Linked DNA regions of Astyanax mexicanus. The protein of the gene in region 1 purifies or fractionates together with the protein of each later gene. This does not show direct contact. Links are inferred from orthologs where the notes say so. Each region holds a gene or a part of one and is shown in the gene's direction. Other genes may lie near its edges.

Region 1 (6,940 bases):
GCAAAAAATCATAGTATATCAAAACACACACTTATTATATAAATAAAATGTGAATTAAAGGAAACTACTTTATGCATCTATAACAGTAAAACACTGCTATCTAGTGGGTGGGATTTTAACACAACACAGTATGAACCATTAAAACTAATTAAACAAATCTATTATTGCAATAATATATTATTGCAAAACCATATATCATGTTTTGGTATGATATTGCTTTTTTAAAACCCTAAACAATCACTTTGTGTATACCACATGGTTGAAAATCTAAGTACTTTGAAGATTTAAAGCAAAAAAACTAATAGACATGACTGATAACTGATAGATCAACCAAAATATGTTTAATTTCTGAAATTTGCTTTGTTAGTTTATGACGCTATGCTAATAATTACACCTTGTATACACAGATAGCCATATATTTTAAATTTTATCATATGAATAAACGTAAATACTGTTCTATTGCAAATATATATTTTTTAGATTTAGACACAATCCACAATTCCATGACTTGCAGAGTACACTACCGAGGGAGTATTGGGTATGTTGGGATGATTATTCTATTTTCTTCCTTCTTTGTGGTGTGTTGATGTCTCTGTTTATGAGGTACTACAGACCTGCCAACATTTTCACATTTTGTGTAATGTGCACGCATTTTGACATCCTAGTACACTTGTACAATACGTTTTATAAAATATGCATATTGTTTGCCAGTTTCAGTCAGGTTGTCACTGACACAAGCAAAGTGCTTTCAGCCAATCAGAGCACTTCATGTTCATCCAACCACCCCACGTCTGCTAGCTTCGAACTTTAGTCAGAGCCCTTATAATGATGATAGTGCTGTCATGCTGTTTATCGACATGGCCGGTAAGCATAAACACTATTCCAGCAAACTAATTATGGAGCCATCCACTACTTTTATTCACACTTAATTTTCCTCCAAACTTTCAGCACATTTCTTCAAGGTTGGCAGGTCTGGGTACTATTACCCCTTACAGGGCCATATTGCTCAGCCCTACATGGTGTGTGCCAAAATAATAGGATTTATATACTGAACGATCAGGTTTTACAGTTTTTCTACTTTTTAAATGCACTGTAAACTGTCAGCCCCTTGATGCCTTGATATACAGCTATGCACTGTGAATGCACATCCAATAAAATGAAATAATAATGTTCATGTGTTTGTTTTTTTACTTTTTTGGCATTTAAACAATGTTTTGGCATGGTCTCTATTCCCTGCCCAAAAACAGCCTGCCCATCTAAAGCTAGTCTAGCTAAAATGGTTCTTAAAGGTTTGTGAACCCTTTAAATTTTTATCTATATAAATATTCTGCATAAATATGATCTAAAACATCATCAAACATTTTCTGTAACTTTTGATCAGTCCTGCTCCACTGCCTTGGAGGAATTTTAGCTTTTTACTCTGTACAGAACAGCTTTAAATCTGGGATGTTGGTGCGTTTCCTCACATTAACTGCACACTTCAGTTCCTTTCACAACATTTCCATTGGTTGACCACTCCTTATACAATCTGTCTGACTGTGTATTGTTAGAGTCAAAACTCTTTAGAGATGTTTTTTAACCTTTTAACTTTTTTCAGCTTGATGAGCATCAACTACTCTTTTTCTAAGGATCTCAGAAATCACATTTGTTCGTGTTATAATAGACTTCTATAAAGGTGTTGTGAAGAGCAGATTTTAAAGCTGATGTTCATAGGTTTTGGGATTAAGGGCCCTCTCTGGTGAGAATAGGTAATTCCGCCAAGCATGTGGAAGAATCACTTTAAACTGGGTGGGTGTCTCCTTTCAGAGTGGATGAATTCGATTCCAGGTTATGTTCTTCATTTCTTTGTTTTTTATATGAGATACTGAGCTCTGAGTTTTCTCTTCTGAAGTCTCCATTGTTCCACCAGCCACTCGCATTCAATAAAACTGCGCCGAATCCTCTTTTAGAGTCTGTAGTGTGAATTCCCGCAAAAAGTGGTCTGACACCCCAGTTTTTAGAATGAATATATTAGGCTTAGCAGGGACGGTGGTTTCAGCACACTGGTACCATCAAACACAATATTTTCTTCCTTCTCCACTCAGAAATGCTTCTGCTTTCAGTTTAGAAACAAAATAATACAGACTTACATTTTAAATAAATCACTGTTAAATAAAATAAGGTTCTCACTTACACCTGATTGTCATACTATCCATTGAAACACCTGACTCTAATTTCACCTTCAAACTAACTGCTAATCCTAGAAGGTCACATCATTTTGCCAGTCACAAATATGTAATATTGGATAATATTATGAACCACTGTAATTAAGCTGGTTAACCAGCATAGGGTGTTTTTTATGGTTAAGCTGGTCTACAATCATGATCAATCTGAACAAGCCAGACCTCAAGTATGACCAGCATGACCACCAGCCTGACTAAGCAGGTTACCCAGCAACAATATGCGGTGCAAACAGCTGACCAACCACAACAGACTCAACTGCAATCCCCTCAACTAGCTCATCTCACACACTAATGACTGGACAAAGGACCAACTATACTCAGGAAATCAGTTTTATTCTAAATCATTCTGAAATCTAACAGAGTTGGAAATAAGCTTGGTCATTTTTTAACACCAACAAAGGTCACAAATTACGTTTGTTCTTTCTTAGTCCTTTCTGATCCTGTCTGTGTTTCTAGCCATGTGCTCTTTAAGCACATTGCCCTGTTTTGCTGTTGTCTTGTCTCCTGTTTTTTTTTTCAACCCTCCTTACTACCCCAGGTGTTCCTTGAGGCAGGGCCTTCCAAAAAGAAAAAAGATAAAACTCATTTCACCTCTAAATACTCTAAATTTAATAAAAAAAAAAAAGGAAAATTAATTGATATAAAAGTAAAGTTCCTATATGATTTGGTGTGCAAATTTTATTTTGTTTTGTTTTTTTTTTGGTGGGGGGTGGGGGGGTTAACCTCCCTGAAATCAACTTTTGCAACTTGGGATGTCTGCTGTGTATATATACCCCATATCTACTTTGTTCTCTGTCATGCTTTTGATGTTTGTGCCTGCTAAGTTTCTGCTTTGTTTTCTTTAGTTTGTTTGTTTCTTTGTTTATTAGAGTTCTTTTAGAGTATTTAGTATTAGAGTATTAGAGTATTTTTATTATTTTTTGTAAGGGCTAATAATAAAAAAAATCTGACATTCATTTGCATTCTGCTTCTGGACCATTACAATTCTATGGCATTTTAATGGTACTTATGGCAATAATGGTTAAAAAACACAGAAGCAACATATGTCAAATTACCAAAAATAATATTAAAAGACAGAGACCTGATTTAATAAATAATTATCTCAAATTAATAATTTGTTCCCACAATTTAGTAAATTAGTCTCAATTTTTTTTTATCTCACAATTTAATAGATTATTCCGGAATTCTAAAGAAACAGATCATTTATAAACATGTTAATAAACTATTCCCACCATTTACTGAATCAGCCTTAAATTTAGTAATTATTCCCTCAGTTTTACTAATCTACATAGCCTATTAAATTCTTTCAACAATGTAATAAATTAAACTTCCACAATTTAATAAATAATTAACACAATTAGTACATCATTCCCAGATAGCAAAAGTATGTTCACTCATCATTCATTTTTCCATCTCTAAAGCATGAAAACAGCATTGATTTCTGATGCTGATTAATTCCCACAATTTAACGTATGTTTTTTTATTTATACATTTAAAAAATCAAAGAGAAATGTTGATACATTTATGTAATTATTTATAAAAACGAGGAAACGTTTTATAAATAAAAAAAAAACATCAGTTTCTACTTTGTATCGATTGTATCGAGTATCCAGCCCTGAGCGCGGTTGTCTTGCAGGGTTTGGCCGAGCGGGGGCGGTAGTGAGCCCGGCCTTCCTTCCCCGCCGAGTCCGCGGGAGATCGGATCAGAGCGGTTGCGTGTTCGCTGCTGCTGCTGCTGCTCTCTTCCCCCCCAAGCTTGAAGATGGCGGTGTCGGTGTTCCCCGGCGTGCGGCTCCTCTCCATTGGGGACGCGAACGGAGATATCCAGCGGCACTCGGAGCAGCAGCCTCTGCGCCTGGAGGTGAAAACTACGCAGGACGCGGCCCTGATCAACCTCTCCAACAGTGAGTGGACGCTCCGCCGTAACGTCCAGCCTTTGTGTCCGGCACGCTTAGCTAACTAGCGTTAGCGAGCGGTGGCTAGGCTAACGGGGCTACAGGGTTTAATATTTAGGCTGTAGATATAATATATTAGTTATATTGGTTTATGAGGTGATACGTATGTGTGTTAGGTGTCGTTTTCGAGTTTGTGCTGTTTAATTAGTGTGAAACTGTGCTTTGTGTGACTAAAAGCAGCTGCAAGTGTAGCAATGGGTAGTCCAACTCCAGAAAGTAAAAATCCAAGCCCAGGTTTTGTTCCAACTGTATGGGCGGATTGGTTGCAGTACAGCCGTCATAGCGGTTTGAACAAAAACCGCGGTGGATTTTTACTTTGTGTATCTGGAAACTGTCTGTTTATTACACACGACTGAAACCACGTTGGTAGACTATTAGCACTCAATGCTAACTCATAGCTAGCTTATTATTGATGCTGGTTGGCGCTGGTGCGGATTGAACCCAGGTCCAAAAAGTAGCTATTAATCCAGCCCAGGATTTAGATCAAACTGCTTGAGCAGCTTTGCTGTGCCCTTCTAAGAGCCAGAAAAACAGCTTTTAACATTTATATATTTTTTTTATTTCACTAAGTATTATGGTTCAACAACTGGTATGGTTAAAATAAAAAAATCTTTGTTTATTTTTTATATTATTTTCCTTGTAGTGGTCACTGGGTCTTGATTAGTCTAAGAATGTAGGGGACAAAAAGCTAATGGTATTGAAATGTGAAAATAGTTTTCCCTCCATCTAGGGATGGACACATCCCATTGGTTTGTGTGCTCTAAAATGTGTCCAGTACGGTTAGAGTGACCAGAAGACTGGAAATCTGAGGGGTCCACCTCTCACCTTTACTCTCACTGCCTTACTGTCCTGCCTTCAGCCATCCTCCTGTTCCTCTCCTGGCAGCTCTAATGCTGCATTTATGTGCTGTTGGAATTATGTGAAATATGACTGACTGATTTGGAAGTTGCATACAAACAGCCTCCTGAACACTTAATTCCAGAGAAATTCTGAGAAAAAGAGAATCTGTAGCGGATTTTAAAAGTGCAGCTGCTGTTAACAGTTGTCTGCACATTTTCTAGACTATAGCCCTGTCCGAATGGGATTCGTTTCTCAGGAGGTCCTGGGGTAATTTTTTCTTTTATGTGGTGTCCTCTGTAATTTTATTTCCGTCTGGAACGACCATGTATGTGTTTTTCTCAGATGTCCTCTGAGAAAACTACACGCAGAATTTCCCACTGTTTTCCGCTGAACTCCGTGGTCCTCCGGTAATTTTACTCCAGTCCGGCCGCACATCTGAGTTTAGTCACATTGCTTTTAATAAAATAACTATTTTTCCACTGCCACTCCACTGTAATTACACATTGGGCTCACAGAGATCCACATAAATACAACATTGAGTGGACATGGAGGAGCTACTGAACGCAATTTCACGTGACCTAGAAAGCCAAAAAACTCAATGGTCTTAGTTTTTTCAATTGCAGTCCGGACGCAAGAGTTTTATCACTAAGTAAAAGTGTGAAATATTTTTCACAGACATACCCCTGAAGAAAACCAATCCTGTCCAGATAGGGCTTATGAATCTGTTCATTGCAAAGTTGACTACTCTACTAAAACCTTTTTCTTCAAGAAACCAGCAAAAACAAACCTTGTCTTCCTTTCTTCATGTTGCTCAAAAAAAAAAAACACCCTTGCATGTGACATGCTCGTAGGTTTTTATTTCACAAGTGCAAAGTATGACTTTTTCTCTGACTAGCTAGCACAAGAACACAGCATTAGTCTGACATTTCCTATACAATTCTGAGTAAAATTCATTCAGCATCTTTTGAAGCTGGATAAAATTGGAGGCAGTATTTGTCTGCTACAGAGGTCACTGAAAAAAAATTGATAGTTAAAATGACTGTAGACTTCTAAAATACTGGACAAATTAAAGGAAAGTGTTATTTTAAAGAAACAATTTCTGTATTAGCAGCAGAAACAAAATAAATGCAAAAAATGTATACATTTCTTGGTGCCTTAAAATGTGAAAGCTGTGATGGTCACTAATTTAAAAAGAAAGTCCCTGAGCTTTGTTGGCAATACACATCCCAGCAATTGAAGTTTCATTGGACAGCATAGAATGTTCAGTGTTGATGATAGAAAAGTTCAAGGGTTCAAGCCATTTTCATAAATTGTGATGGACTTAAAGTTTCTCGACTTGTGTCCATTATAGTTGTCAATATTGAAATGGCATTTCCCACAAGGATAAATTCTAATAAAGCTCCCCAGTAAGCTGGATCAAAATCCTGAGGCAGACTTTCACTCTTTGGACATGGATTTACCTCCTATGCTTCTTGGCGTTAAGTCATAAAGTTAGCCAGCAGCACTCTGTTTCTTTTCAGCTGATTTACGAGTGTGCTGTACACAGAGAAACAAAGCTCACCCCTCAAATCTAAACCAGAGATTATGATTTCCCCAGAGTTCCCTCTGTTTCGTTTGAAGTTAAAGCACTCCAGGTAACCCTAAAGCCTAATGCTTAACGCCTGCCAGCTGGCAGTGGGACTGAGTGTGTTGTGGTGTTGAAGCTCAGATGGCGCACATCATTGCTCTGCTTCTTAAGAGAAATACTGATGGATATAAATGTTCTTCAGTAGGTCTGTTAAGCTTTATAACATGCAGGGCGCTGAGCCTGTGCTTTAAGACGCTCATCTTTGTTCACTGGAAGACAATAGCCAGTCCCCCTGCCTCCCCTCTCGCCTCTTGCCCGCCTGTTCATTCAGTGGTCTCTGCTTTTGTTTGGGAAGA
Region 2 (7,364 bases), on another chromosome or scaffold:
GGTTAAATGTGTGTTAGTTAGCTTGGTTAAATGTGTGTTAGTTAGCTTGGTTAAATGTGTGCTAGTTAGCTGGGTTAAATGTGTGTTAGTTAGCTGGGTTAAATGTGTGTTAGTTAGCTGGGTTAAATGTGTGTTAGTTAGCTGGGTTAAATGTGTGTTAGTTAGCTTGGTTAAATGTGTGTTAGTTAGCTGGGTTAAATGTGTGTTAGTTAGCTAGGTTAAATGTGTGTTAGTTAGCTAGGTTAAATGTGTGTTAGTTAGCTAGGTTAAATGTGTGTTAGTTAGCTGGGTTAAATGTGTGTTAGTTAGCTTGGTTAAATGTGTGTTAGTTAGCTTGGTTAAATGTGTGTTAGTTAGCTTGGTTAAATGTGTGTTAGTTAGCTAGGTTAAATGTGTGTTAGTTAGCTTGGTTAAATGTGTGTTAGTTAGCTTGGTTAAATGTGTGTTAGTTAGCTAGGTTAAATGTGTGTTAGTTAGCTTGGTTAAATGTGTGTTAGTTAGCTTGGTTAAATGTGTGCTAGTTAGCTGGGTTAAATGTGTGTTAGTTAGCTGGGTTAAATGTGTGTTAGTTAGCTGGGTTAAATGTGTGTTAGTTAGCTTGGTTAAATGTGTGTTAGTTAGCTGGGTTAAATGTGTGTTAGTTAGCTAGGTTAAATGTGTGTTAGTTAGCTAGGTTAAATGTGTGTTAGTTAGCTAGGTTAAATGTGTGTTAGTTAGCTGGGTTAAATGTGTGTTAGTTAGCTTGGTTAAATGTGTGTTAGTTAGCTTGGTTAAATGTGTGTTAGTTAGCTTGGTTAAATGTGTGTTAGTTAGCTAGGTTAAATGTGTGTTAGTTAGCTAGGTTAAATGTGTGTTAGTTAGCTGGGTTAAATGTGTGTTAGTTAGCTTGGTTAAATGTGTGTTAGTTAGCTGGGTTAAATGTGTGTTAGTTAGCTTGGTTAAATGTGTGTTAGTTAGCTTGGTTAAATGTGTGTTAGTTAGCTTGGTTAAATGTGTGTTAGTTAGCTTGGTTAAATGTGTGTTAGTTAGCTAGGTTAAATGTGTGTTAGTTAGCTAGGTTAAATGTATGTTAGTTAGCTAGGTTAAATGTTTGTTAGTTAGCTTGGTTAAATGTGTGTTAGCTAGCTAGGTTAAATGTGTGTTAGTTAGCTAGGTTAAATGTGTGTTAGTTAGCTAGGTGAGGTGTGTTAGTTAGCTAGGTTAAATGTGTGTTAGTAGCTAGGTTAAATGTGTGTTAGTTAGCTTGGTTAAATGTGTGTTAGCTAGCTAGGTTAAATGTGTGTTAGTTAGCTAGGTTAAATGTGTGTTAGTTAGCTAGGTTAAATGTGTGTTAGTTAGCTAGGTGAGGTGTGTTAGTTAGCTAGCTAAGTTGTGTAGCTAGTTTGTATGTGTGTTAGTTGTTTTTTTTTGTGTTAGTAAGCTAGCTACGTTAGCTAGTTTAGATGTCGGTTAGTTAGCTAGGTTAAATAATCCTCAACTATTAGTAATTAGTTACCATGTTTCTCAGTTTATAATACTGTGATATAATCTGCATTAACTTCTTAAGAAGAACACAGCAACTCTTCAGTTATTAGTAAAGGGTTACCATGTTCTGCTGTTCAATTCTGAGAAAGTTGTGTTATGTAACACGATTTCCAACAAAATAAGGATGTAGGACACAGCCTACAGTAAAGGTTTATGAGAGTTATCACTTCTACTGAGCACAGGAGGACTGAAGTGGAGCACAATTTTATTTTACACACCTGTAACACTCACAGAACATTACAAAAATGTGGATTAATCAGATTACTGCACCTTCCAGTGTTTAACATTTGGAAGATATTGATGATTTTAAGATAAGTAAGGTTAAAATATGACAAATGGTGTCACTGGTTCTATTATCACCACTGATATTAGAGAATAACCTGCAGCGGCAGATAAACACACTGTGAAATTACCGTAATTACCCTAATAATGCGCACAGTGCGCTCTGTGATACTGCAAAAAGAAGATGAAGATGAAATTGTATAAGGTTGGTGCTTAATGTTAAAGCAGTGATCATTAAAACAAAATGTATTACAGTCATTATTAAGGTCTTAGATGCTTTCTGGAGAACATATGACCCATTTTTACATGTATAAAATTTGTGTCTTTTTGTCATTGTTAAACAGAAAACTTTTGATTAGTGGCCTGACTTGTTAGTTTGAAATTACCTGCTAAATAAAAGACTTGTCCAGAATTCCGAATCTCTCACGAATGTCAGACATAAAACTAACTTTACCGCAGTACTCGGTGGATCTGTTTTGGTAGCAAATAATATTTTATATCAGTATTGGAAGAGCACAAACATGCCAGATGTTATTTGTATAATATGCAGAACATCTTAATGACACTAAATGGATGCAATGCTCATTTCTCCCAGCAAGAAGATCTAAACACACCTTCTTTCAGGATAATGGAAAAATTATATGATCATTATTGTAATAACAACTATATATTTTTTATTGAAAAAACTTGTTTGATAGAAAAGTTCACACTATTTTCATTCTTCATTAATGACATATATAATATGCAATAACTTTTCTATAAATGAATTTTATATTACTTTAATTTTCTGTTATTTAAAGAGGTAAAATCACTGAAACTAAAACAATAGTGTTTTATTAATATAATAGCATTAGTAGTTTTTTTATTAATGATTATAATAGTCACTGACAGAGCGATGTTCGTGTGAACAGCTAACCTGTTCTCCTAAACACCTCAAGTTACTAATGAATGTGTTATAGGTGGAGTTTCTGCAGATCTTCGCTATCTCAAGCTATTAACCCTGTTAGCTAACAGGAAGCTGGTCTCAGCAAGCCCCAGTGCCTAGCTTTGCTAGCTTTAGCGTATTAGTTCTTATAAAGTAGCGCTTAGGTCCGGTAGCTTTAGCCTTTAAGCTCTTATGAGTATTTTAGAAAACATTGCCACATTTTAAAAGTGATGCAAAAAATTTTTTTAGCTGTATTGTGGAGAAAAATCTCTCTGACACACATGTTGCATTGCTTCATTATTTATTGCTCATATTTTTCCAAGAGCTGATTGGGCTGAGCAGTGTGCCTCTGATAGCGATCAGACACAGATGATTAGATGTTACCAGGGGGCGTAATTACTGATCGAGTGATTTAAATATTGTGAGTGTATGTAATGCAATTTAATGTAATGCAATATTATGTCTGGAGCCCATAAAGGGACATCATGTAAAAATAAAAGCATGACCATGCCTTATTAAGGCGTGGGAACGAGATCCTAAGGCGTGGGAACTGGATAATTAAGGAGTGGGGATGAGATCATTAAGGCATGGGAACGAGTTCATTTAATCTAGCTGAGAATAATAAAGCTTGCTTTTCTGTAAATTAATGCTCATGAAGAAACTGTATATTACATATTTAATCCAAATATAATCTTTAGTAAGAAAATGGAGAGTGAACTGGTTTATTTTTATTCTAAATAAAGAAAAATAAGGAAATTAAGAAATTATGTTGATATTTTGGAATAAAGTAAAAGACACTTAATTTGCATACTAAAAGCTGATTGGCTTAGACGCATACAGTAGAGCTGCTCGCTTTGTTAGCTGTGAAACAAAAGGACCTTTTGTTCACACCTTAATAGCACTGTTTTAATTAATTCATTCCCACGCCTTAATGATCTTATTTCCACACCTTAATTATCTTGTTCCCATTCCTTGGGATCTTGTTCCCACACGTTAATAAGTTGTGGTCGTGTCTTAATGATATCATTCCCACATCTTAATTATCCTGTTTCCACGCATTAGTATCTCATTCCCACGCATAAGTATCTCGTTCCCACACCTTAATCATCTCTTTTTTACATGATGTCATGTTAGGGGCTCAGTAGTAATGTAATGTATTAAAGTGTTATTGTGCGCTGTTAATTTGGAATCACTATACCAATTTAAATTAATTTACCAAGTTAATTAAGGCACCAAGTTGGCTGTCCCCCACTCAAACATACAAGTATATACTATAATTTTAATTGACACCACTTATATACATATAATTGCATTTTACATCTCTTGCATTAATTATTTATTAAGTATCATTAATTATCTTGCATTAATTTAAATATCCACTATAAAAATTCGCGTCTGAAAAAAAAAACCCAAATGCGATTAATCGCAGTTAATCACAGAATTTTGTTGTGATTAATCGAATTATTTTTTTTAGCGTCCTGCTGCAGTTTCTCTGCTCCGCCTGTGGGGGCGCTGCCGCGTGTGAGCTCGCGGGGCCTCTCGCGCTCGGCGGTAAAGCAGCGCAGCGCGCGGCGAGGCGCGGATTGCAGCGAGTGGAGCGGCGCGAGGATGGCGGCGACCGGTGCGGGAACAGCGGGGGGAGCGGGGTCCGGCGGGGCCGGGACTGGAACCGGCGGGGCGGCGGGAGCCGCGGGTGCCGCGGTAGGCAGGAAGAAGGACGGCGGACCGGCGGGGAAGTTCTGGGAGAGCGGGGAGACCGTGGCGCAGCTGGAGGCTGTGCGGCAGTGGATCAGCAAGCACTACAAGAAGGTTAGCGGCTAATGCTAATGCTAACGGTCTGTGTAAAACCCGTGCTGGAGCTAATGCTAGTGTAGCTAATGCTAACGTAGCTAACGCTAATGCGGCCCGTGGCGCGCGCTCACACACAATAACACAATAGAGCTCGCGAGGAGCTAAATCACACACTAACCCGCTGAAACACACAGTTTTACAGCGTTATTCGCGTTTAATCAGCATTTAATCAGTTTAAACCGCGCACAACTCTTTTATCTATTAGTTTATGGTCGGTAATAGTTTGTTTTTTTATGTGTTTTAAAGCGTAAATCTGCTTAAAAACGAGCTAAAGTACGCTAAAGCTAAGCTAAGCTAACAGTGTTTTGGTGTGTAGTGGCGGCTAAGCTAACGGCTGTTACTCTATCTAACCTGGTTTATTATAATTTATTCAAGTTTAATCCACTTTAAATCCTGAAATAATATGAAATAAGCTGATATAACGCTGCCTGGGCTGTTTTATATCCAGTGTGAATTAAATATCTGCTGGTTTTAGGGGTGTTTATGATGGTAGACGGTTTGATTCATTGTGTGGGTGAAGTTTGTTTCTCTGTTTCTGGGGTTTAAATATATAATAATAATATTTATCACAATATAACCGGTCTGATTGTTTGTTTTTTAGTTCTGTTAGACGAGTTAAAGTAATTTAGCCGTGCTGGTAACTAATTAATGAAGGTTAATCCGGGTTAAAACAATAGTTTAGATATTAGACGACAGTTAGTATAGAAAATAATGCAAGAAAAAAATCAGAAAATGTGAAATTTAGAATGTGAGGTGCATAAATGTTGGTGAAAAAATCCCTACATTTACTTTTTTTTAAGTATTTAGCAGACCATATCCTCAGCGACTTACAGAAGTGTTTTGTTGTTTACTTTAAAAATATCCACTACTACATTACTATGTCATGTAAGTATTAAAGTAGTAAAGTATTCGTGAATATGGCCTCTGTATCACGCTTGCAGTAGTAAAGTAAAACTATCCTTTACCTCTTAAACACATTAATTAATGGCTTTTAGTTTTTTGTTTGTGGAAGCCATATTTAAAAACCCTAATTTAAACAATGGTTTGTAACCTCCACTTGAACTCTAATATTAGAATTACTGAGTGCCAAGTAGGAAATTTTAACTGGAATGCCCCCTGATTTTCTATGTAAAACACTGACCTATGGCTCACTATATATCTGAATTTTAAACATTTATTCATTTTGTTTGTTAAAAAAAAAACTAACTTTTGAGTTCCATGTTCGATCTCCTAATATTCAGTTTTTGATGTATTTTTTTTTTAAACCTTTTCAGTATTGGTATTGAGATACTTATGCAGGTATAATAATAAGTCAGACATTTGGTATTCCATTCCATTACATTAATAATATCTGGTTTAGTGAACACATTGTCTGAACATAGCAAACAAGCTAACTACTTCTAACCTCATTTCCTTCTTCCCCTCCTTTACTCCTCTATCCCATTATTCCCCTTTAACCTCCTTTAGACCCTGTCTAAAGATGTTTTACCTTTAACTTCTATAACTTTTCTTTTACTGTACTTCACTATTGTAAGTCGCTTTGGACAAAGGCGTCTGCAAAATGCAATATAATGTAAAGTAATATACACATAGCTTATTAAAACTTTATGGCTGCCGGTTCTGAACGTATGGTTTTGTATTCGTATTTTCTGCAGCATGTCCAGGCCGACTCTCCATCCTGTAAGACTCTGGCAGGGCTGGTGGTGCAGCTGCTCCAGTTCCAGGAGGACGCTTTTGGACGAAGAGTGAGCAACCCGGCCCTCACCAAACTGCCCGTAAGTGCTTTTCTGCAGACGCTAATTCCACGCTGTTTATCGTACATTTCTTTCCTTGTGTGGCACGATAAACTCAGGTCTGCAGAGTTAGCTGAAGTGATGCTTTATTGTTATTAGGGTTGCACAAAAATCTGAACTATACTGGGTATTCTAGATGGTTTACACAGAGTTTTGCAGACTTGTTTATCGTATGCTTGAAAAAAAAAAAACAGTGTTGCTGGCTGCGTTACTACAGGGTTCCCGCAAATGTCTTAAAGTCTTAAAATGTCTAAAATGCAATACCTTAAAACATTTAAATGCATTACACTAAATTATTTCATTCAGAAGTCAGTACTGAAGCCTGCATGAGCACTGCTCTACAATTTGTCTATAAAATATCTACACTGGCTGTGCTACTTTTAAAATCCAGTGGTTTAAGCTTATATATATATATATATATATAATGTGTATATACACACTCACACACACACACAATAGATCTATTCTAATTTAATAGAGGGTTAAATTTCGATAAATGTGAAAATTCATAAACTATTTTCTTGAGAAACCTTTCACTTTAATGTTTGTGTACAGTTGGTTGAAAGCTAAAAATGAAGGTGTATATAACATGTTGGCAACTATAATCAGGATTTAAATTAATTTTTTCTTCAGTCAGAAATGACTGACCTGTCCTCCGCTCTTTGCTTACGCCCACTGGTTCCTTGGCCTGCACTAGATGGATTGTGACCTCAGGTGTTCAAACATTGCAGCTGCATAACATTTCTTAAACAGAAGATGAAATTGTGTTTTTCCACAATGCACATTGTCAATTTTTTTTCATGGTGATTTCAGCGCAAACGTCCTGTTAATAGCAGGGTTCGTACGGCCATGGAAAAACTTTGAAGGTTTTCCAGACCTGAATTAGTTTTGGAGAAATTAAAATACCCAGAAACCTTTGAAAAAGTCATGGAAATTTGGTCTACAAAACTTGTTTCAGTTAATTCTGTAAGAGTTATGCTGGGCGTGTA

The links.
Region 2: the proteins of carm1 (region 1) and smarcc1a purify together in Homo sapiens (affinity purification with western blotting; 3 studies listed by BioGRID and IntAct, with this or other methods). This does not show direct contact. The link is inferred for Astyanax mexicanus from reciprocal best matches to the Homo sapiens genes CARM1 and SMARCC1.

What each region holds. Positions count from the first base shown.
Region 1 is NC_064426.1:9,726,408-9,733,347, forward strand, and holds the start of carm1 (histone-arginine methyltransferase CARM1), read left to right. Parts: upstream 1-3,902; 5' UTR 3,903-3,984; coding exon 3,985-4,126; intron 4,127-6,940. UniProt on the Homo sapiens protein: Methylates (mono- and asymmetric dimethylation) the guanidino nitrogens of arginyl residues in several proteins involved in DNA packaging, transcription regulation, pre-mRNA splicing, and mRNA stability.
Region 2 is NC_064408.1:129,661,248-129,668,611, reverse strand, and holds the start of smarcc1a (SWI/SNF complex subunit SMARCC1), read left to right. Parts: upstream 1-4,324; 5' UTR 4,325-4,339; coding exon 4,340-4,540; intron 4,541-6,237; coding exon 6,238-6,357; intron 6,358-7,364. UniProt on the Homo sapiens protein: Involved in transcriptional activation and repression of select genes by chromatin remodeling (alteration of DNA-nucleosome topology).